Linked DNA regions of Rattus norvegicus. The protein of the gene in region 3 purifies or fractionates together with the protein of the main gene of each other region. This does not show direct contact. Links are inferred from orthologs where the notes say so. Each region holds a gene or a part of one and is shown on either strand. Other genes may lie near its edges.

Region 1 (5,541 bases), on a different chromosome or scaffold from region 3:
CTCAGGTTCCAGCTTCTCCTGCTACCCAAATCTATTTAAAACAAAACTAAACAAACCAGCCATGTGCCTTCTTTTATTTCCAACGTAACAGGTGGGGTTTCTCTTGCTCTTGGAAAATGATTGATAGTCATTTCTGCTGAGACAGTAGGAATTTCAAACCTTGCTCTTTCTTCTCTTCTTCCTCCTTCCCTTCTTCTTTTCTTCCCTCTCCCTTTCCTTCTTCTCCTTCTGAGAGGATATTAAAGGTCATCAGAGAATCTCCCCACACAAAACTTCAACTGGCCATATTGCTGATGCCACAGCCAGGAGATGGGTCAATAATTACAGGTGTTCACATCCAAGCTTTCCAACTTGAGTTCGATCCCTGGGGCCCACATGGTGGGGAGTCCTGAGTTCCACAAGTTGTCCTCTAACGTATACACAAACTATGGTATGCAGGCCTACATACATGCACGCTCACACACGTAACTGTAACTAAAAAAGACACCAAATTTAAATGTCATCACGGTTAAACTAACTGAACTGCTAGAAGGTAACACAAGCCAGACAGTGCTGCCCAGAGAGGGCCTGAGTCAGGTAAGATCAATCACTATCCATTTGGTGGTATTTTAAGAAGATGTTGTTCGAGTTGGGGATTTAGCTCAGTGGTAGAGTGCCTGCCTAGCAAGCGCAAGGCCCTGGGTTCGGTCCTCAGCTCCGAAAAAAAAAGAAAAAAAGAAAAAGAAGACGTTGTTCACTGATCCTGGAGCTGATTACTTTGGCTAAGCTAGCTGGCCACTGAGCTGCTGGGTTTCTCCGGTCTCTAGTTCTTCAGCACTGGAATTATAGCCACAATCTACCATGCCTGGGCTTTCATGTGAGTGCTGGGGTCTGAACTCTGGCCCTTACGTTTGCGCAGCAAGCACTTTACCAACTAGTCCTCTCGACAGCCTGCACACTTCATTATAAAATGAGATATGTATAGATATAGACAACCTTTTTGTTCTTCAACAGTTTTATCCATTCTCCAAGAATGTCATCAAAACCCAGGGCCACCCTTGACCTACAACCCTAACCCTTTATCTCACTCTTAAAGGGGACTTTTTAGAAGCCTTCTGGGGGCTGGGGATTTAGCTCAGTGGTAGAGCGCTAACTCCGAAAAAAAGAACCAAAAAAAAAAAAAAAAAAAAAAAAAAAAAAAAAAGAAGCCTTCTGGTTCCTTGGGCCTTTGGTTCACCATCTAGTCTTTTCTTTTTCCCTTGGACGAATGGCCATACGGGTGAGCAAATAAGACTTTGGTTACAGTCTCTGTCATACGGTCCTTTCCTCATGAGATTCTTCCACCCTTCCTCTACCCATAACCTCCGGTATTACTCAGCTACACTTGAGCCACAAACACCCTTCGGTTCTTTAATTCCCCTTTGCATTTGGTGATGAGGTTTCTTCCTCTGTTATTTAAAATACAGTATTCATGCTATCTTTCTTTTTTTTTTTTTTTTTTCTTTTTTTTTTTTTTCAGAGCTGGGGACCCAACCCAGGGCCTTGCGCTTCCTAGGCAAGCGCTCTACCACTGAGCTAAATCCCCAACCCCTCATGCTATCTTTCAAGTGTTACGTTAATTTTTACTTAATATTTTCTTGAACGAAATGACGCTTAAAGTTTTTTTTTTCCTTCTTAGCCAATAAAATAAAGGGTGGAACGCCACCTTAGTCCGTTAACCTTAGGATCTTAACAGATCCTGGCTTGGGATCCCACGTCATTACGCCCCTGGGAACTTTGCCGTTCCCGGGTCCTACCTTACCCTTATCAACCCTTTCTGGTTCCCTATACTCCTGGTCACTAGTCCAAAGCCATTATTGGCACCTACAGTACAGCATCTATAGTCCCTGTAAGTCGGATGCTTAGAAGCCAGTCTGGTGCCCAAAGCGCGGTTTGGCTATTCCGGCCAATTGCAGCTCTAAACTCAGAGAGGCCGGATCGTCCGACCAATCGTAGCCCTATACGCAAGAGGGCGGATTTTTCTACCAATCACAGCCCTTAATGCAGCGAGTCCGCAGCCCGCAGGCCCATCTGTGAGTGGTGGGCGTGGCTGAGGAAAGATGGCGGCGCCCGCGGCTCCTGCCGAGCCCCAGGCTTCCGGGGCTCCGGAGCTCCCCGTGTGTCTGTTGGTGTTGGGAATGGCGGGATCCGGGAAAACTACCTTTGTACAGGTGACGTGCACTGTGTGGAGGCTGTAATGGCGCCTCAGGCCCGAGAGGAAGTTGTCTGGGGAATTGGAGGGTCTGGGCGCGTGGTTTTCTGGGGGCTGGCCTCTGACTCCAGGTCCTTCCCGAAGCCTCGAACCCTAGCCTGGGTCACTTGAGGCAGTCTCCTGCGTAGCCTTAGTGTATGCTTGGTACAGCTGAAATAGTCTTGCTGAGAATTGGCAGCTCTCCGAAGACCCAGGCAGGGGGAGGTAATGCCAGCATCACTGGTTTTGCGTGAAGAGTCGTGAAAGAATCACTTCGTTTGACCTATCATGTTCTAAGCTCTTGAGTATACAGCGGCAATGATATCGACATGGTTCTTGCTTTCACGGAGTGAATGTCTTAGTAGAGGAGACAGAGAAGGAAAAGAGGGTCAAAGTTAGCGAAGACGTGATGGAGGGTAGAGATCAGGTACTGGAACTAGATGGCTTTTAAACTGAGAGTTTAGTGTTGAGGGAAGAAGGAGATTGTTATAAGAATAGTCAGAAAGGAATGGGAATTCTCTGGGCCCTTTCCTGTCCTTTGGTCATCAAACTTCGACCCTGCCGCCGTTTTTGCAGAGGCTCACAGGACACCTGCACAACAAAGGCTGTCCACCATATGTAATCAATCTGGACCCGGCTGTGCATGAAGTCCCTTTTCCCGCCAATATTGGTGAGTGCCTTCTTTAACTAACTATCTGCTTTTCTGTGGATTTGCCTGAGTTCCAGAACATGCTTCTTGCTTATTCAGATTTATCTCTCTCTTATGTATCATTCTCATTTACCCCCTCTCTTTGTCCTCAGTGCCACCTGACACATGAATCGTTTAGTTTCTTTTGTCAGAGTTTATGAGTTCTGCTATAATTCACTCTGATCTGTAGAAAGGTTCCTTCCATTTCCAAAGTTATGGGTGTGTGTGTGTGTGTGTGTGTGTGTGTAAAAATATGCGTTGTTGGGGTTGGGGATTTAGCTCAGTGGTAGAGCGCTTGCCTAGCAAGAGCAAGGCCCTAGCAAGGCCCTGGGTTCGGTCCCCAGCTCCGAAAAAAAGAAAAAAAAAAATATGCGTTGTTTTGAGGAGAGTGTTCTGCTTGAGACTATCAGAAAGATTTAGTATTGGTGTGATCCAAGGAAGCCTGAGGCAGAATATTGAGAGTTGAGTCAGTCCAACTTACATAGCTAAACCTTGTTTGGAAAAGAAAAAGTGGGGGTGAGGGGTAGATTTATTATGAAAGTGCCTGTAATCCACTGACAGGGCTCTTGGGGGTCCAGAGCCTGATTCCCAGGTCTCTTGCTAATCCTATTAAGCTTCTTATACCCCATATACAAATTAGGAGGTGGAAATCTTGTTTAAGAATCATAGATTAGTCGGTCCCCAGCTCCGAAAAAAAGAACCAAAAAAAAAAAAAAAAAAAAAAAAAGAATCATAGATTAGGCCAGGCAGTAGTGGCTCACGCCTTTAATCCCAGCACTCAGGAGGAAGCCACATGCAGATCTCTGAGTTACAAGCCGGCTTTTTCTATAGAGAGAGTTCTAAGACAGCCTGGGCTATACAGAGAAACCCTGTGTTGATAAACAAACAAGAACAACAACAACAACAAAAATCATTGATCATTTTGGAAAGATTGGGCAACAAGTTTTCTATTTAAACTAAAGGATAAAAATGTAATATTGTTCATCTAGTGTCTAGGGGGTAGGTTTGTTTTTATTTACTTTCATTTTATATGTATGGGTGTATCTGGTTCCTGCAGAGGCCAGAAGAGGGATGCAGAACCCCTGGAACTGGATCTACAGATAGTTATGAGCTGCCATGTGGGTGCCGGGAACTAAATCTGGGTCCTCTGTAAGAACTTCAAGTGCTCTTAATCTTTGAGCATCTCTCTAGCCCTGGCAGATAGGAGGTGGTAGATCTGAATAGACAGTTTTATTGTTCCTATGTCTACGAATTGCCTTCATTACCATGCAGCGGCTAGTAAGTTTTCTTTTCTTGTTTTTATTTGTTCATTGGTTTTCCTGTGCATGTGCCCACTACCATTGAAATTGTCTAAAACTTGTAATCTTATTTTAGTCTATCATAACTAAGAGCTTCTGACCTTTTGTTTGTTTATTTGTTTGTTTGAGACAGGGTCTCTCTGTGTAGTCTTGGCTGTCCTGGAATTACTCTAGATTAGGCCAGTATTGAACTCAGAGGTCCATCTGCCTCTGTCTCCCGAGCCCAAGGATTAAAGGTGTGTGCCACCAGGCCCAGGAGTCTAACATCCTTCATAGGATACTTGGCAGTTATCCCTAGTCAGGAAGAAAGTGTAGAGGAGGGTATAAGCAAATGCTGGTAAGATATGGTGACACTTCTGTATAGCCTCAGACTCGGAAGGCTGAGGTAGGAGAACAGCTTGGGTTACTTGGGAGGTTCAAAGTCAGTCCCAACAAATGAGGTCATGCTTCAAAAAATAAAGGCAACCATTCTCTCTCTTTCCCCTCAGATATTCGAGACACAGTGAAGTACAAAGAAGTCATGAAGCAGTATCCTTTTTCTCGTCAGCAGTCATGGTGAACTGCTGCCTTTCATTGCTTTGGGGGAGAGGTTTTACCTGTCAGATTGGGACAATACAAGCAAACTCACTTCATTTTCAGTAATCATATTAAGAGGACATAAGATGAACAAGATGAGTGTAGGAGAGATCAGAGATTTCAATAATACTTCCATTTTCTTAACATAACTCGGATAGCCGAGAAGATGCATGGCCAGCTGTTGACTGCCTGGGCCTGGGGAAGTGATATTGCCTTGGGTCATACAGTCATCGGTTAAAAAGTTACTCACAGGAATTTAGACCAGAAAACTTTTTTTTTAAGATTTATTTATTACAAGTGCAATAAGTACACTGTAGCTGTCTTCAGACACACCAGAAGAGGGCATCAGATCCTGTTACAGATGGTTGTGAGCCACCATGTGGTTGCTGGGATTTGAACTCAGGACCTCTGAAAGAGCAATCACTGCTCTTAACCACTGAGCCATCTCTCCAGCCCATTGAGTTATATTCTTATGGGTTAATTTCAGCATGACAGCCAACTCTCTTTAAGTAACCTTAGGAGGGTTGCTTGCCTAGTGAGAATCAGGATAAAGAGTGTTACATGCAGCCCTGGCTGGCCTGAACTCAAGAGATCTTCCCACCTCTGCTTCCTGAGTGCTGGGGTTAAAGGTATTGAGCTTCCACACCTGGCTACACAGATGATTTTAACTGGTGATGCCAGCAGTCTGTCACTGTTTGACGTGTGTAGTCGTTAACTTTTAGTCACACTATTGTCCTTACCTTGTGTGGCCAGTCCTAAAACGAGAGATC
Region 2 (5,383 bases), on a different chromosome or scaffold from region 3:
GTTGTCATAAGAAAAGGGAGAAGCAAGAGTCTCATCAGGGAAGTGGACAGAAACACTGGGAATGCATGAGAGCCACCTCACAATTTTGCCTAAGCAAACTTAGCAACTCTGTGAAGGTCTAAAAATTAGGTGAAAACACTGGCCTAACACATCAACCATTTGTGTCCTAGCCTTTACCAGCCTGGCTTTATTTATCACCTGTAAATATAAATGTCCACAAATTATTCTTAGCCATTTTATAAAGTTTAAGTTCCACCCCTCTTTGAAACTGACAGATTTTTTTTTTTTTTGGTTCTTTTTTTTCGGAGCTGGGGACCGAACCCAGGGCCTCGTGCTTCCTAGGCAAGCGCTCTACCACTGAGCTAAATCCCCAACCCCGAAACTGACAGATTTTAAAAAGCCAAATGCTTGTCATTTCATTTAAATTATGTAGAATCCACTTTTCAAATAAAATACTGCCCTCCTACTCTTAGAACCAACAAAGGAAATAAACTCAGGCACAAAACCACAGAGACAGGAAAAATTCTGGTCCTTGCATTTCTCATTATTCTTGACTAGAAAAAAGTATAATTTTCACTTGTGATCCTACACACAGAGCTAGGGACCAACTTATTCTTGAAAATATGTAACATAGGGTTAAAGCACTAGAGACCAACAGTAGGCAATGGAAAATGCTTCATAACTCGGTAAAATGATTTAAAACAGGGTGGGAAATGTCCTCTTCCACACACTCGCATCGCTTACTACACTGATGCACCCATTACACCAAACACTGTTCCACAAAGTTAATGATAAGAGTCCAATCCAACCTACATCATTTTACTGAGTAACCTTTAGCCACCTGACATTTCTGAGCCCTAGTTTCCTCCTGTGTAATTCAGTGGACTATGAGATATATTATAAGGTATACAGAAATGCTTGGCATGTGGCAGATACATATATGTGAGTCTTCGGAGATGACAGATATTGCAGATTCTAGTATAATCTCTTGGCAAGAAGTAAACAAAAAGATCTGACAACAGTAAAGAAGGACTAGCTAATCCCGTCTTTTCTCTCAAATATCCTTCTCAGCACTGTATTTCAAAGAACCACAGAACAACTGTCCCATCAATAACTTTAAATACAAAAGATTTCAAATTTGGAGCCTATAATTTTGAAGTTTTACCCACTTGTTCACTAACAAGTAAACTCAAAAATATTATAGAAGCAAAAACAATGTGGGATAAGAAACTGGTAAATGAGTGCCACTGGCAAGAGGCCATATAGGTAAGATGCAAACTAAAACTCAAATAAATACGTATGAGTTCGCTTTATGACTGCTTGAAATTTACTGTGTAGAACAAGCTGGCCTCAAACTTGCAGTAATCCTCCTGCCTCAGCTTCTGGAATCACATGAGCCACCACGCCCAGTTTAACAATCATATTTTTAGAAGACCTCTTTTCTATAGTAAAGTAGTGCGGGGCGAACCCCACAGGTTGAAGGCAAAAAAGTACAACTTGGGAGGTGGGTTATACGCTAAAACAAATAATATTTTAAAATCCACATTTCCCATTTTGATTGCCTATGCAAACAAACTCAATTCTGTAAAATATACTTCAGGCGATTAAAAAGTGGCCGGATATATTTTATGCTCCAGTACTAATGATGATTACAGTCTCGGAGTTGTATCGTCCGTATCACTAGTCTGTATTTTACTGTTACAAACACAGGTAAAAGGAAAACAGGTGGTCGCCTCACAGCTCTGTAGAGCTCATACTGCTTCACATTCATCCAGGGAAATCCTCCTTAAAACACATGCCAAGTTTCACACACAGTAATCAAAAGAAGGCCCCTTTCTATAATATCACAAGTTTCACGTCGGCGGAAAACACTGAATGGTCCAACATATTCCAGGGAAGTGGACAGCTTAAACCATAGCTTGACTAACCAACAGGAAACCCAGAGATCATTAACACGTCAAGGCCTGTAAGAAATAAACGGACGCGACAATTTCCGTGAAGGTTCAGGATAATCAACAACACACCTCACAGGGCTCGGAAAGGAAACACGTAAATCTCTATGGGTCTAGGCCCAACGGCCCAAGGTCACGCCAAATGTGAAGCTGAAAAATTCCAAGCAATGAGCCCCCTGCAGATCAGAGCAACCGTGCCTAGGTTGGAGTCTGGGCTTGGGAACACTCGTGTCGGATCTTTAATGTGAACCCCAACTGAATGCAGCGGCTCCGTGGGCAAACCCCAGAGTGTTTTGGGCCGCATTTCCTCCATTTCCCCAGCCTCCCCCTTCCCAATCGCCCCCACACTCACATCTCCGGAGCCACTTCATCCAATGGTAGACGATTGTACTGTGGTGTTTCTTATTTTCTATACACCAGGACGACAAGCCTTGAATGGATTCCATGGTGTTGGTCACCGACTGGAATTTTCGATCCAACGAGGACTCCAGGGCCCCTGCGGACGAGGCCGACGAGGAGGAGGCCTTACTGCTGCCTCCGCCGCCGCCGGCCGCCATCTTCCCGGTTTGCACAAGCGCCGCTGGTCCTCTGGCGGCGGCGGCGGCGGCGGCGGGAGCGGGCAAAACAATCACTGCGAGTGCGTGAAAGCAGCAGGAGGGGAGGGAGGCCAGGGGGTGGGGATGGTGCACGCGCTAGGCTCTTCTGGAGGTAGGAAGGGTAGCTGCTGGGCACGCTGGCGGCTCCCACACGCTGCAAGGAGGGGCTGCGAGTTGCGAAGGTTTGTCAGTATGGTTCGGGGGTGGTGTTTAAACCAGTAGTCGGGAGAGAACTACGTAGAAAACAGGACCTGCGACGCCTTTCAAAATGCCCAGCGCCGAAAACTAATGGTTTTATCCTCTACGGTCCTCTCAACTCTCAAGGCCCTTCCCTCATCCCGTTGCCCAAACTCCGGTGAGCCAGGGAGGCCTTAGTACCGAAAACGTAATACCGTAATACTACCCGGCTGTCCCTTCGGTTGCAGAAAGCTTTTCCTTTAGATTCTCTACCACAGAAAAGGCCCAAAGCTACCTAGTCAGAATTTTTTTTTTTTTTTTTTTTTTTTTGGCAACGCAATAGCAGCAATGGACCAGCAAAAAAGCAATGCGCACGCGCACGGAAGCCCCGCCCCTCTGCTTCCGAGCGCTGGGAGAGGCGGGTTGGCGCTGCAATCTGACCAATCAAGGGAGGGGTCGGAGAAGCGCGCGCAAGAGTCCTCCGGCCCCAAACGCGGAGGAGGCGCTACGTTTATTTGTGCGCCTGCGCGTTAGTTGTTCGCGTAGCGGGTTGGGAGGAAAACCTGGGAAGGCAGGATGAAGGAGCTGGCGAACCTACGACGTTAATAGCCCGCGTTCGGTGCTCGGCACTGCTTTTGGCTTCATGGTGGGGTTACTCACTTGGGGCCTTTAGCTCACACTAGGCAGAGAAATGCCCATCCTTCTGGGGCCACTGTTTCTGACAGCTGCATTCCCTACCACCCGCAATCGGGGACCTACGCGCGACAAAATGGCTGGCACCCATCTTGCGGCATGGTAGAAGGTGCGCATGCGTCAGATCCAGTAGCCGTTCTCTATGCACTCCTAGACTCCTGCTATACATCCGACTTCGATGACACCATTCACAGCCAGCCGACCGTCTGCATTCTAGAAAGCGGGAATAAGAAAAACGAAATTTTCTCTAAGAGTTAAAAACTTATAGAAGCGAGGAAAGAGTAATTGACAAGATGTGGCTTCTTTGCACAGTTGTAACATCACAATTTCGTAATGCGTTATAGTTTACAAGAGTCTTGAGTATTGGATTTATTAGGATAGCCTCAGTTTAACCATTACATCTGATCTGCCTGTGTGAATCTTTTGGGGAAATTTGGATGTTCGTGTATTCCTACTGAACCCAGCAATTTCATTTTAATTAGGCCAACTCAACAGAAGAGAGATTTTTGAGGCAAGAACCCTGTTTCATCATTTAGAATTAACCTCTCTGTGCCAAGAACTGTTTTAGGATTAGGGAAATGATGGCAAAGCAGACAAAAATTCCTCCAACTTGATTTGGCATCAGGACCAAACCACAAGTATGTGTCAAGGAGTAAGGAGTCCTAAAGAGGTACGAAATAAGCTAAGGGAGAAGGACGGGGGATATGAATAACAATGATGTGACCAGTTTTTAACAAGAGATACTTGAGGAAAAAGCAACCAAGCACAAATGGGTAGGGGAGAAGAGCTGGCAAAAGAACAAGTGCTGATTCCCTAACCCAGGACTGTTAACGTTTTAGAGGAAGAACAAGGAAGCCACTGTGACTAGAAGATACTGAGAAAGCCACTAAGACAAGAGGCAGAAGAGGTCAGAAGCAAAGAGGGCACGTGTAGGGAATTGAAAGCCACTGTTTCTTTTTTGTTTCTTTTGAGGTAAGGTTTCTCTGTGTAGCCCTGGATGTCTTGAAACTTGCTCTGTAGAGTCTGGTGTCCAGCTCGAGATCCTGTCTACCTGCCTCGGTCCTAAGTGCTGAGATTAAAAGCCTGCCACCATGCCCGCCTGACTTTGGGCTCTCTTTCTTTCATCCAAGCTTTGATTTTTATTTCTTAAAAAAGTTGTATATTTATTTTGCTTTCTGACTCTGTGCTTTTGCCTTCAACACTTACACAATGACTTTCTGCTCCTCAATAAGGAAAGCCAGCTTGATCCTGTCACGGTCACACTGGGCACACATGGAGCCACCATAGGCCCTGCTGGCGTGCTTCTTTTTCTTTGACAATCTCACAAGGACTTTGGGTCTCACAGCAGGAACCCCTCGAAGTCTGCCTGGGCACCCATGCAGATTTAGGTGTTTTCCTAACCTTGGAATAAAGGTGAATAGTCCTGTTGCCAGGGGTTCGAGACAGGTACTTTAGTTAGAGGCTATATTGTAGGAGAGCCTACAATGGTTTGTCAAACAGTGGACTGGAAGATCAACTTTGGCTTTCTTAAAAAGAAAAAATTTGGGGTTGGGCATTTAGCTCAGTGGTAGAGCGCTTGCCTAGCAAGCGCAAGGCCCTGGGTTCGGTCCCCAGCTCCGAAAAAAAGAAAAGAAAAAAAGAAAAAAAAGAAAAAAAATTTACAAGAGTTATAAAGACCTTAATGATCCTAGAATCAGGCAACTTCTCCTTTTACGGAAGTTTGGCATTACAGATAGAAAAGGGCTGAGGAAAGAAGAAACAACTAAAAGCAGATTGTTTTCAAGTTATTTTCGTTCCAAAGGTTAAAAGCAGGACTTCCTTATCATGCCAGCTGAAACTGGCCTGCTCCGAGATGACTATTACCTCTTTCCTGGTTTCTTGGGAGATCAAAATAAACAAGTTTCACTTGGTCACATGAGCCTTTAACATGTGATTCCATTTTTATGTGGTTGAGCACTAGCCTGT
Region 3 (5,461 bases):
ATTCAATCTGGTAGCCATCAGCCATGGTGGCCAGTCACCACTTAATTGAGATAATAAAACTGGATCTTCAATTATATTTATTCTTTGTCATCATTTTAAATGTCCAATAGCCACATGTAGATAGTGACTGAGGACAGGTTATTTCTCTGCTGGTGAAATGAGTCAGTTTAAGCCAGATGAGAATATATTAAAGGCTGGTTTATTGGAAAGCCGCTGTCCAGTGGACAAATTCACTGGCCCCAAGGAAGGCTGTGGAAGTCGCTATGGATGCAGGGGGTGTGGAGAAAGGGTGCTCAAGCTGAGAGAAGAGGAGAAAGAAACTAAAATGTCTGGATTAATCGGGAAGAGCCTCTAGGGGAAGGGCAGACCAGACCCTGGGCTGGAAAGTTCAGGGTTGGGGGCAGGGTATGCCAGGTAGGGACTAAGGGATGCTGGGAGAATCTGGAAGCCAGGTCTGCTTTGATATGTAAAATATGCATCTCAGTCCCTTGTCCCAGGTCCAAAGCCAAATCGCCCAAGAGCAGCTTCCCAATTTAATCTGGCTTGAATTGGTTTGTTTCACCAGAAATAACCTATGAGCTGCCTTGTGGAGAACAGAGGCACAGAACAGCAATTGCCACAGATAGTTAAACCAGTGCCAATAAGGTCCTTCCTCTACTCAAACCTGAAAACATCAGAGGGACAACCACACTACTAAACTAACTGTTACTTCACGACAGATAAACAAACCTAGAGAGATGTAACTACACTGAGGTAAGGCAAGTGGTGGGATGGGACGGCAGAGAATACAGTGGAGGAAAACTCCTCCAATAAACACCATTAAAGCACCAGGAACTTGAAAAAGCATTAAGTCTGGTATCAGTCCTCCCTGGGTCCAATCCCAGTTTAGACCTCTGGACAAGCCACATCTTGCTGCATCTTTATCTACTGTGAAATGGGGATAAGAACGCCAGCCTACTTGCTATGTAAGGCCCATGAGATAAGATTATTGATAAAGGAGCCTCTCTAAATGGCTATTTTTCAGGAACTCAAATAGGGTAAGGTGAGGAACTAACAAAGAAGGCTTCACAAAAGAAGTCTGGGATGGGCTAACAATTTCAAGATGATCAAGAGACTCTGCTGAAGGGAATTCAACTAAGGTCACCGATAGTTTTCTCATGTCTCCACATGCTGCAGCTACGCTCTACCTAGCTGCCCCAGAGGGCTGAAGGGATTCCTATGTCAGTAGAGCAAACCATAACTGGGAGGCTCTGCAAGAAACCTAGAGTGCAGTCTCCTGAATAAACCTGGAGTTTGCTGCCTGCCATGCGTCTTCTTCAGTTCGAAGACTTTGACTAAACCATTCTCCACTTCGGTTTCCTCATCTACAACAGAGGGCAGAGACGCTCATAAAGTTACTTCCACTAAGCTTCGACTCTTCAGTCTTCTGCTAAGGAACCCAGCACAGTGTGAGTTAGCACTGTACCTACCTGCTGCTCCACACCAGGATGTAGCAAGCTGAAGGCAAAGACCAAGCTGTACACTGGGCATTCAACAGTCTTAACTTAGCACTTCTACTGAAAACCTGCACTGTGCCCACAGCACACTAAAATGCTTACTGGATTATCCTGGCTTCTTACCAGAATCTGCTTTGTTGAGCCCTGTGTTTTCCCCATCTGTAAAATTCCTACTTCAAAAGGCCTCAAGAATTAAAAAACAAAACAAAAAACCAAAAAAGAACAACAAAAGAACCACCCAGTATAGTGGCACAAGCTACTAATCCCAGCATTTGGGAGGCAGAAGCAGGTCTGAGTTGGAGGCCAGCCTGGTCTACATAGGGAGTTCCAGGCCAGTAAAGGCTAAATAGTAAGGTTCTGTACTGAAGCAAAAACAAAAGCAACCTGCATAAAGACAGTGGCACATGATAAAGCCATAGTAACATAAACTACCATCCTCTCCGTTTTCTATATAAGGAAACATAAAGGACATAAAGGTTAAGCTGTTAGGATAAGTGACAAAGACAGGCTTAACTTCCAGACAGTGACCAGAAACAACCTGCATCTAACACAGGGCCTGGCAAGAAACAGGTAGAGCTCTGTGAATGTCAGATTCTCAGAGTCTGAATTTAGTGCAGAAAGCTACCCAATTTACCGGCCTGTTCTGAAGTCTATGGATAGTAACTAACATGGGGTCAAGGCTTTGTAAGGACAGGTAAGTTTGTGTCAGTTTTACAGATTAGAATACACAGGCACAGGGATATGAAGAAACGTTCCCAGTATCACTTAGTTAGAACACGTTTGGGCCAGGTCTCAATGTAGGCAGTCTGACCAGAGACGGCTGGATCTTATTCCAAATGCCCAATACTAGGCTCCCAGCTCCAAGCACAGCCACGATTTAAAACAAAATAAAACAAAAAACAATTGTCGTAAAGTGTGAAGGGGAGCCTGAAGAGGAAAGCAGCTTAATAACTTCAAGTCTGGGCATTTGCACCCTTGGAACCTCAGACGAATATCACATGCCTTACTGGGCCTCAGTTTCCCTCTCCAAGAAATAAAATATCAGTTTCCAATCTCAGAACCTCAATCAGAGACCCAGGCCTGCAAAGCAAGGCTTAATTAAGAAACTAGAGGGGTGTGGGAAAGTGGATGAGAGTGCACACCCATGGGAGAGCCCAGGGGTGGGGGTGATCACCTTTGCGGAGCTCGCGGTGCCACACGGAGACGATGGGTCCTGCGTGCTTGCGGTGGTGGATGAGCCACAGGGATAGGGTCTGCACACTCTGCTGAGAGTTGCTCAGCTCTGAGAGCTTCTTTTCCAACGCCGACTCTGAGAAGGAGGACATGGTGGCGGTGGTAAGGAACGGCCTGGGCCGCCCGATGAGTCGGGGAAAGCGACCGCACTCAGCCCAGGCCTCCGCTGACAGGCTGCACGGCTCTCCGCCGACTGACAGACAGCTAGGGGTACCAGGTGGGGGGAGGGGACAGGTCTCCGCAGTAACAGCCGCCCGCGCCGCCGCCACAAGATGGCCACCCGACCTCTCACCCCGCCGCCACGGGGTCAAAGGGCAAGGGCCACCGCCGGGCGCCGAGAGGTTCGCAGCCGGAGGAAAACGACCCTTAGGAGGCAGCACTCTCCTTGGGCCTTGTTGAGAGGACTTCGAACCGAACAGGCCGAGAGAACAAATCCAGGTCCTCGAACACCGAAAAGCGCTTTAACCACTCGCGCCCGCGCGCCGGCGCAGTGAGCCTCACCGGAACCCTTTTTCCCGCTCCCGCAGAACCTTTCTGGCGCGGCGCGACGCACTACTTTTTCGTCATTTCCGTCTAGGGTGCTGGAGGCGGGAGAGTGGGGGAAAGACTGGAAGACGAGGTAAGAGTGGCGGGAGTGTGAGGGAGCTCAGCCGTTTAGGAGCGTCCAGAAGCGAATCCTTAGGGGACACTGAGGCAGGAAGCGCGGGACCTGGGTGTGGGAAGAGCTGCGTCGCTGCTGGCTCGCTTAAGCCACACCTCCCTCCGTGCTTGATCCCTCCCCCCCTTCCCGCGCTCCTCTAGTTCTATTAAAGACACGAACCCTTTGCAGGCCCCCCCAGCTTGGTTCCTGTTCTGTCTTCAGAAGTGATGCCCCTTTTCTCACCTGATGGAACTGCGCCGTCTACTGGCCTCGACTGAAAACCCCCTTTTTTGAGGGGTGTAATGACTTAAAGAGTAATAGTGCTTGTTATGCAAGAATCAGGATATCTGAGTTCCCATCATTAACTAGCCCAAGTTGGTGGCCTGGTCTGTAACTTCAGTACTCTGGGACTGAGACAGGAAGATCGCTGGAGCTTGCTAGATGCCTGCTTAACTCCAGGTTCAGTGAAAGACTCAGTCTCAAAAGAATAAGCTGGAAAGTGGTTGAGCGGGACACCTGACATCTCTCTGTGCGCTCACCCCCCCCAAGACACACACCTACAACTTTCCTGACCATTGTTGAACTTCTTAGATGTGGGCCCCTCCTATAGACATTCCTATAGTTGATGCCTGGTTTTCTTCACTTCTCTGTTCCTAATATAAGTGCTTTGACCCTTCACCCTTCACATCATGATCATAGATAGTCTAGTGAGAACATTTCTGTGTGCTAGACACTTTTCAAAGCTTTGAAGTAGGTATTATTTTCTCACGCTTTAACAGTCGAGGAAACAGAAGGTTACAGAGGTGTGGAGTTCCCAAGCTCACATAGCTAAGATCTGAATGAAGAGACTGTATCTCAGTGTTTCCCAGCATCTGGGATCAGAGCTGAGTTCATAGCCGATTGAGTGAATTAATGCACAAGTCAACACCTTGTAATGATATATGTATGATGGTGCACACCTTTAATTCTAACTCTTGGGAGGCAGAGGCAGGTGGGTTTCTGAGAGTTCCAGGCCAGCCTGGTCTGTGTAGTAAATTCCAGACCAGCTTTTAAGACCCTGCCTTTAAAAAAACAGGTGTGGGGGTGTGTGTGTCTGGGGGGCCTAGGGCTTTTGAGACCGCATCTAAACAGTTGCTGAGTACTGAGTAACTGTCATGTTCTGAGTACCCTTCCTTGTACTGAGTCTATGTATCCAGCATGTTACTATTTCTAAATTCCAGTCCTTAACAACGATGCTCTGGCGTGGGAACCGTTTGGTAATGAGAACACATGACTGGGAGTGAGTAACCTATCCAGAGCTGCTCAGGCATAGCCAGGAAATGGCAAAACTAGAATTCAGTTAAGGTCTCCTGATCCCAAATTCTTCACGTATTACCCAAAGGTTCCTTCATAATTTCTGAGCATCTGTGTCTGAAGCACTGTTCTGGGCAAACAGACAAGCTGTCCCTGTCCTTGGAAGCTTGCCTTCTAGAGAAGAGAAAAAAATGGGCATGCAAGTATAAAATGAATCAAAAGGTGATTTGTATAAAAATCCAGGAAGCCAAGTGGGTAGAGAATGCATGGGCTTGAGAAAATATAAGTTGGTCACATAGGAGTATATTCTGTATGCTATATGCCCTTCCCAGAGGGTAAAGTAACATTTGGTTGCTTGCCAACGCTGTCTTTCCAGGTAGTGAGAAAACCAACTTCAAACCTTTGTTTGCAATTTTGAGGACTTGAAAAGATGGTTTTACCAGAGTGATAGAAATCAGAAGGGTAGTTAGACATAAAGCCAGAAGAGTATGGAGGGACCGTGTCACATGGGCACAAATAGGTACAAGTAAGAGTTTAGTGTTCTCTGAACGGGCAGTAGCAAGTGAAGGCGGAGCACTTTATTCTTATTGCGCTGTGCTGTTGTGGCATTTGCATGCAGGCTTCGCTTACATAGGCAAGACTGTTATGTAGAAGACAGGCATGGTACAAGAAGGACAGGAAGACCAGTTTGTCAGCTGTTGTAATAACCCAGGTAAAAGGATGAGGCAGACCAAGATTGTGCCAGTGTAGGAAGCAGGAAGAGGACAGAATATGGAGATACTTTAAAGGAAGAGATAAC
Region 4 (5,330 bases), on a different chromosome or scaffold from region 3:
ACCAAACCAAAAGTAAAATAAATAAACAACTTTTATTCCTACCAAGAGAAGACACATTTCCTTGAGAACTAAGGACAACATGTTTATGGTTAGAACACAGAAGAGAATAAGAGCACAGCTCAGCTGGAAGAAACAAAGTGTTCTGGGGACAAGGAGCCTTCTTCCCTGCCCCCATAACAGTGGCCAGATTGAACCTCTGGTACGACAGTCAAGTTGGTGCTGAGTTCAAGTTGGAAAGTCACACTTTCTAAATCAGGATCAAAGCAAGCTGGAGGCTCCCTCACTCAGCTCACAAGTCCTGTGAAATCAGGAAAAAAATATCAGTTAGACACTGAGTTCCCAGGCAGCCAAAAACCAAAGATTTCCCACCACCAAAGACAAGGTATCTTGGATTTCCAAGGGAACAGAATGAGAACTTATATCTCTGACTGGCATTTAAATCCTACAGCCATCCCCTCTCCAGCACATCCTTTCTCCAGGGAATGGTCCCAGCACCCATGTCAGGCACTCACCCAAGTAGTCATCCATCAGAGAGCCAATAGCAAACTGCGAGAGGAAAGGGAGAAAGGATGGTGAGGTGGGGCCCCACCCCATTCCGAGCCTTCTGTCATCTATTCCCTGCTCATGGACACAGAGCACAGAGCCCCCAACAACTGTGGATGGCAAGAGGTCAACAGCGCAGATGGGGAAAGAGCTTGCTCCAACCCTGATGACCTGACCTCCACCCCCAAAATCCACAGCAGCATGCGATGACCTGAAGGCGGTCTAAATGTCACACTGTGGCGAGTGTGTATGCCCACACATCCACATAAATATGTTCTACAAAAGAAACGAGAAACCCACAGCTGTCAGCTGTGAATGATGACTTTGGATTATTTATAATCCTACTACCCAGGAGGCTAAGGCAGGCCAGTCAAGCAAGAGACTCACAATGTCATTCTTGTCTACACGTGTCCCTACAATCTTCAAGCGTATCTCATCGTCCTGCTGAATTACAATGTCCTGTGGAAAGGAGAGAGCAGGGTCATCAAGCAGACTCAGGCCTGGTCCTCATCCCTCTCACCAACTCCTCCTCATTCGCTCACCTCATCCATGGTCTTGTAACAAGGGGGGTTCGAATTTGGATCAAACTCCATCTCTGAAGGGATGGACTAGAAGGAAATTGACACAAAGGTTAGCATTTCAAATAGCTGCATCAAAGGATGAGAGTCAGGGGCTGGTTTCTCCTCCTCGGCCTCACCCCACACGCCCAGACTCACGTGTCGAGAGATGAAGCAGGACATGGGCCCAATTTCTGTGAAAAGTCCAACCTAGAAGGAAAATGACCGTGCTTCAAACGCTCTGAAGCATCTTTACCTGATTTCTAGGCACATTATTCATGTTTCTTAACAGTTTAAATTGTAGCATTTGTTTTAATTTCTCTCTGTGTAATCTTTCATTTCTTTACATTTTTGTTCTTCATTATTTTTATGTGTAAGAATATTCTGACCTCACATGTGCCTGTGCACCATGTACCTGCAGTGCCCATGGAAGCCAGGAGAGGGTATTGGGACCCTGCAGAATTAGGAGTTACAGATTATTGTGAGCCATTGGCTGGGTGCTGGGAGTCAAACCCAGGTCTTATAGAACCAGTAGGTGCTCTAAACCACTGAGCTATAGACCCCTTAGCCTTTAAGAAACTTAATTTCTGAGGCTAGAGAGATAGCTCAGTGGTTAAGAGCACTGACTGCTCTTCCATGGGTCCTGAGTTCAATTCCCAGCAACCACATGGTGGCTCACAACCATCTGTAATGAGATCTGATGCCCTCTTCTGGTGTGTCTGAAGAGAGCTACAGAGGAGTGTGTATAATAAATAAATCAGGGGCTAGAGAGATGGCTCAGCGGTTAAGAGCACTGATTGCTCTTCCAATGATCATGAGTTCAATTCTCAGCAATCACATAGTGGCTCATAATCATCTGTAATGGGATCTGATGCCCTCTTCTGATGTGTCTGAAGACAACAGTGTACTCATATAAATAAAAATAAACAAACAAACCTTAAAAAAAAAAAAAAAAAAAAGAAAAGAAAACCCAAAACTAAGATAAAATAAAATAAATCTTGACAACCACAAAAGGCTTAAGGCAACTAATAAGTGGACTGGGAATTGAACTCTCACCTTAGGAAATACCCCGTAACCTTTCTTTTTTTTTTTTTTTTTTTTCTTCTTTTTTTTCGGAGCTGAGGACCGAACCCAGGACCTTGCACTTCCTAGGCAAGCGCTCTACCACTGAGCCAAATCCCCAACCCCATAACCTTTCTATAAATAATACTCTTACCTTGTTGACCTGAGTGACCACAGCATCCACCACTTCCCCTTTAAAGGGCCGGAAAACAATAGCTTTGTATTTCACTGGATAAAGAACAAAACCTCGGCCCGGCTGGATCACACCAGCACCAATATTGTCGATGGTAGTGACAGCAATCACAAAGCCATATCTGCAGGAAAGATGAAAAAAGACAGCTACTGTATGTGAAGAGCCTCTAAAAAGCCACCAGCAATAGTCTGCGTGTGATGGAACCTCTGCTCGAACAGCTCGATGACCAAGAAGAGACAGAACTCAGATTAGCACCTGAAATATTAAATGGTGCTCTCACAATTGTACAGTAAATGCCCAAGAAGGCACAGATATGCTGACATACACCTATTCTCTCAGTACCAGGACTTGCCAGGTCAGTGGTGAGACAGGTCTTTCGAAAACCACAAATCAGACAGAAAATTGTGACGAAAACCTTTAATCCCAGCACTCAGTGGCAGGCAGTTCTCTGAATTAGAGGCCAGCTTGGTCCACATAGTGAGGCCATCTCGAAACCCAAAACATTTGCATAATAACGGTCTGATCTCGCATAAGCGAAGAAAATTTGGTTTAGCAACCTTTTAGAAGGCCCAAAATAGGCAAAAACTGGCTGCTTCGGATGCCTGGAGTGGTGAAAGAGTTCCTCAGAGTAAGTAACAAGCCCTGACTGAAGGAGTGAAGTAGAGGTTACAGAGTAGCGTTATTGTGCCTGCATTCAGCAGACGACACTGTGAATCAGACACTTACTTCCCAGTGCAGGTCCCCTCCACCTCGGTGAACAGCTTCTGCTTCACCGTGTTGAGCAAGTTGGGACCAAAGTAGCGTGGGTGCAGTAGGATCTCGTGCTCCAGGGAAATCTGCAGAGAAAGGAAGATGAAGACTCCGCCAGCCACACTGAGAACAGGAGGCGACCCGTCGGCCCTCCAGGCTCCTCCTGTCCCTGCCCTCACCGCTACCCCGCGTCCAGCTCACATGATAAAACATCTTCTGCAGAAGCTTGGACCGCAGAGGCCAGAACTCCCCAGGAAGGGACCTCGCCGGAAGCACTAGCAGAAGTCCCACCAAGTCTCCGCAGTCGCTTCCGCAGATTTGAGTCTTAACGCCATGGGCGGGGAAACGTGAAGCCCCGCCCCTCAGGCCTTCCCATCAGCGCTCATCAGCACAGCCAGGATTACACAGAAAAACCCGGTCTCGAAAAACCTTAAAAAAAAAAAAAAAAAAAAAAAAAAAAGGTTAAGAGGTCTGGCTTGTCGCCACATGCCTTTAAACCCAGCCGTGGCAGACAGATCTCTAAATTCAAGGCTAAGCCACATCTACAAAGTGAGTTCCAGGATAACCAAGACTGTGTATACAAACCCTATAAAAAAATTTGTTTTTGGGGTTGGGGATTTGGCTCAGAGGTAGAGCGCTTGCCTAGCAACCGCAAGGCCCTGGGTTCGGTCCCCAGCTCCGAAAAAGAGAAAAAAAAATTGTTTTTTAAATTTTATTTTAGGGGCTGAAGAATTAGCTCAGTCCTTAAGAGCACTTGCCAGCCCCCACAGGATAGCTCACAATCTTATCTGTAACTACAGTTCAGAGAGAACTGACACCCTCTTCTGGCTTCATTCAGCACTGCATGCTAGTGGTACACAGACATAATGCAGGCAGAACACCGATGCTTGTAAAATAAAAATAAAGATGAGGTAGTTGGGGAGATTGCTCAACAGTTAAAATCAATGGTTGCTCCTCCGAAGGATCCAGGTTTGATTCCTAGAACAAACATGGTAACTCAACTAGCTATATTTCAATCCTAGGGGATCCAGTGCCATCTGGGGCCTCCATGGACACTTCTCCCTTGTGGTGAACAGGCATAGATACAGCCAGAACATTCATACATATAAAATAAAAATAAAGGTTTTTACACATAAAATAAAAATAAAGCTCTCGAAGAGGACCTGAGTTCAATTACTAACACTGCACCCGAGGTCTCACAACTCCAGCTCGAAGGGGATCTGAAACTTTCTCATTGCCTCAGGAGGTACCAGCACTTGTGGGCTTGTACTCACATACAGATAACAGACATCATTGAGTACACCTAATTAAGAAGAAGTCACTTGGAAGTGTGGCACACGCCTTAAATCCCAATATTCAGGAACAAAAGGCAGGTGGGTCTTCAAGTTCAAGGCCAACCTGGTCTACAGCATGAGTTCCAGAACAGCCAGGGATACATTAAAAATGAAGGTGTCGGGGTTGGGGATTTAGCTCAGCGGTAGAGCGCTTGCCTAGCAAGTGCAAGGCCCTGGGTTCGGTCCCCAGCTCCGGAAAAAAAAAATGAAAGTGTCTTGTTAAACAAAACAAAAAGACAACAAGCAAAAAGATTACTTATGTGGGCACGCACTGGGCTTACTTTCTTTTCTATTTGAGGGACGGTTTTATTATGTGACCATGGATGACCTGAGATTTGCTTTGTAGAGTAAGCTTGCCCTGAACTTTTTTTTCCCCTGGAGCTGAGGACCTAACCCAGGGCCATGCGCTTGCTAGGCAAGCGCTCTACCACTGAGCTAAATCCTCAACCCCTGCCTTGAACTTTTAACAATTCTCTTGCCTTTGCTGTTGAAGTCCTGGGCAAAGTGGAAATTTAGGGATTGTCAGATGCTGTTTTGCTGGGGCAAACACATGAAGGGGTGTGTTCCTGAAGTGGACACAGGAGAAAGACGAAGCAGACTCATGAAGGAACATTTAGCTGAAGCAGACACAGGAGCAAGGCTGTTCTGCTAAAGCAAGCACGTGAAAAGACATGCGGTGAAGGATTCTTTGCGAATGGCATGCATGCATTGGTCTGCCTAATACTGCACAGCTGAGCTCCACTTGTCAGGACTCCATAGAGAGAAACGCACCAAAAGTCTTTCGGTAGTGTGCTGCAGTTTCTTGCTGCTTCCACGGACTCAGGCTGATTGGCAGAGTGATGTCAACTGAGACAGATGCACGTGCTGAGGCAAGACCTGTGGAGGACACGT

What was found.
Region 1: the proteins of Rprd1b (region 3) and Gpn1 purify together in Homo sapiens (affinity purification with mass spectrometry; 3 studies listed by BioGRID and IntAct, counting the BioPlex papers as one, with this or other methods). This does not show direct contact. The link is inferred for Rattus norvegicus from reciprocal best matches to the Homo sapiens genes RPRD1B and GPN1.
Region 2: the proteins of Rprd1b (region 3) and Rprd2 purify together in Homo sapiens (affinity purification with mass spectrometry; 4 studies listed by BioGRID and IntAct, counting the BioPlex papers as one, with this or other methods). This does not show direct contact. The link is inferred for Rattus norvegicus from reciprocal best matches to the Homo sapiens genes RPRD1B and RPRD2.
Region 4: the proteins of Rprd1b (region 3) and Polr2g purify together in Homo sapiens (affinity purification with mass spectrometry; 3 studies listed by BioGRID and IntAct, counting the BioPlex papers as one, with this or other methods). This does not show direct contact. The link is inferred for Rattus norvegicus from reciprocal best matches to the Homo sapiens genes RPRD1B and POLR2G.

Annotation. Positions count from the first base shown.
Region 1 is NC_086024.1:30,681,532-30,687,072, reverse strand, and holds the start of Gpn1 (GPN-loop GTPase 1), read left to right. Parts: upstream 1-2,061; 5' UTR 2,062-2,078; coding exon 2,079-2,189; intron 2,190-2,785; coding exon 2,786-2,879; intron 2,880-4,683; coding exon 4,684-4,723; intron 4,724-5,541. UniProt on the Homo sapiens protein: Small GTPase required for proper nuclear import of RNA polymerase II (RNAPII). May act at an RNAP assembly step prior to nuclear import.
Region 2 is NC_086020.1:186,053,832-186,059,214, forward strand, and holds the start of Rprd2 (regulation of nuclear pre-mRNA domain containing 2), read right to left. Parts: upstream 3,113-5,383; 5' UTR 2,510-3,112; coding exon 2,305-2,509; intron 382-2,304; exon of another isoform or gene 301-381; intron 1-300.
Region 3 is NC_086021.1:167,100,633-167,106,093, reverse strand, and holds the start of Rprd1b (regulation of nuclear pre-mRNA domain-containing protein 1B), read right to left. Parts: upstream 3,186-5,461; 5' UTR 2,822-3,185; coding exon 2,671-2,821; intron 1-2,670. UniProt on the Homo sapiens protein: Interacts with phosphorylated C-terminal heptapeptide repeat domain (CTD) of the largest RNA polymerase II subunit POLR2A, and participates in dephosphorylation of the CTD by RPAP2. Transcriptional regulator which enhances expression of CCND1.
Region 4 is NC_086019.1:215,118,265-215,123,594, forward strand, and holds Polr2g (DNA-directed RNA polymerase II subunit RPB7), read right to left. Parts: upstream 3,393-5,330; 5' UTR 3,319-3,392; coding exon 3,307-3,318; intron 3,195-3,306; exon of another isoform or gene 3,192-3,194; coding exon 3,082-3,191; exon of another isoform or gene 2,477-3,081; coding exon 2,317-2,476; exon of another isoform or gene 1,311-2,316; coding exon 1,260-1,310; exon of another isoform or gene 1,152-1,259; coding exon 1,086-1,151; exon of another isoform or gene 1,003-1,085; coding exon 931-1,002; exon of another isoform or gene 547-930; coding exon 513-546; coding exon of another isoform or gene 436-512; exon of another isoform or gene 299-435; coding exon 285-298; 3' UTR 15-284; downstream 1-14. UniProt on the Homo sapiens protein: Core component of RNA polymerase II (Pol II), a DNA-dependent RNA polymerase which synthesizes mRNA precursors and many functional non-coding RNAs using the four ribonucleoside triphosphates as substrates.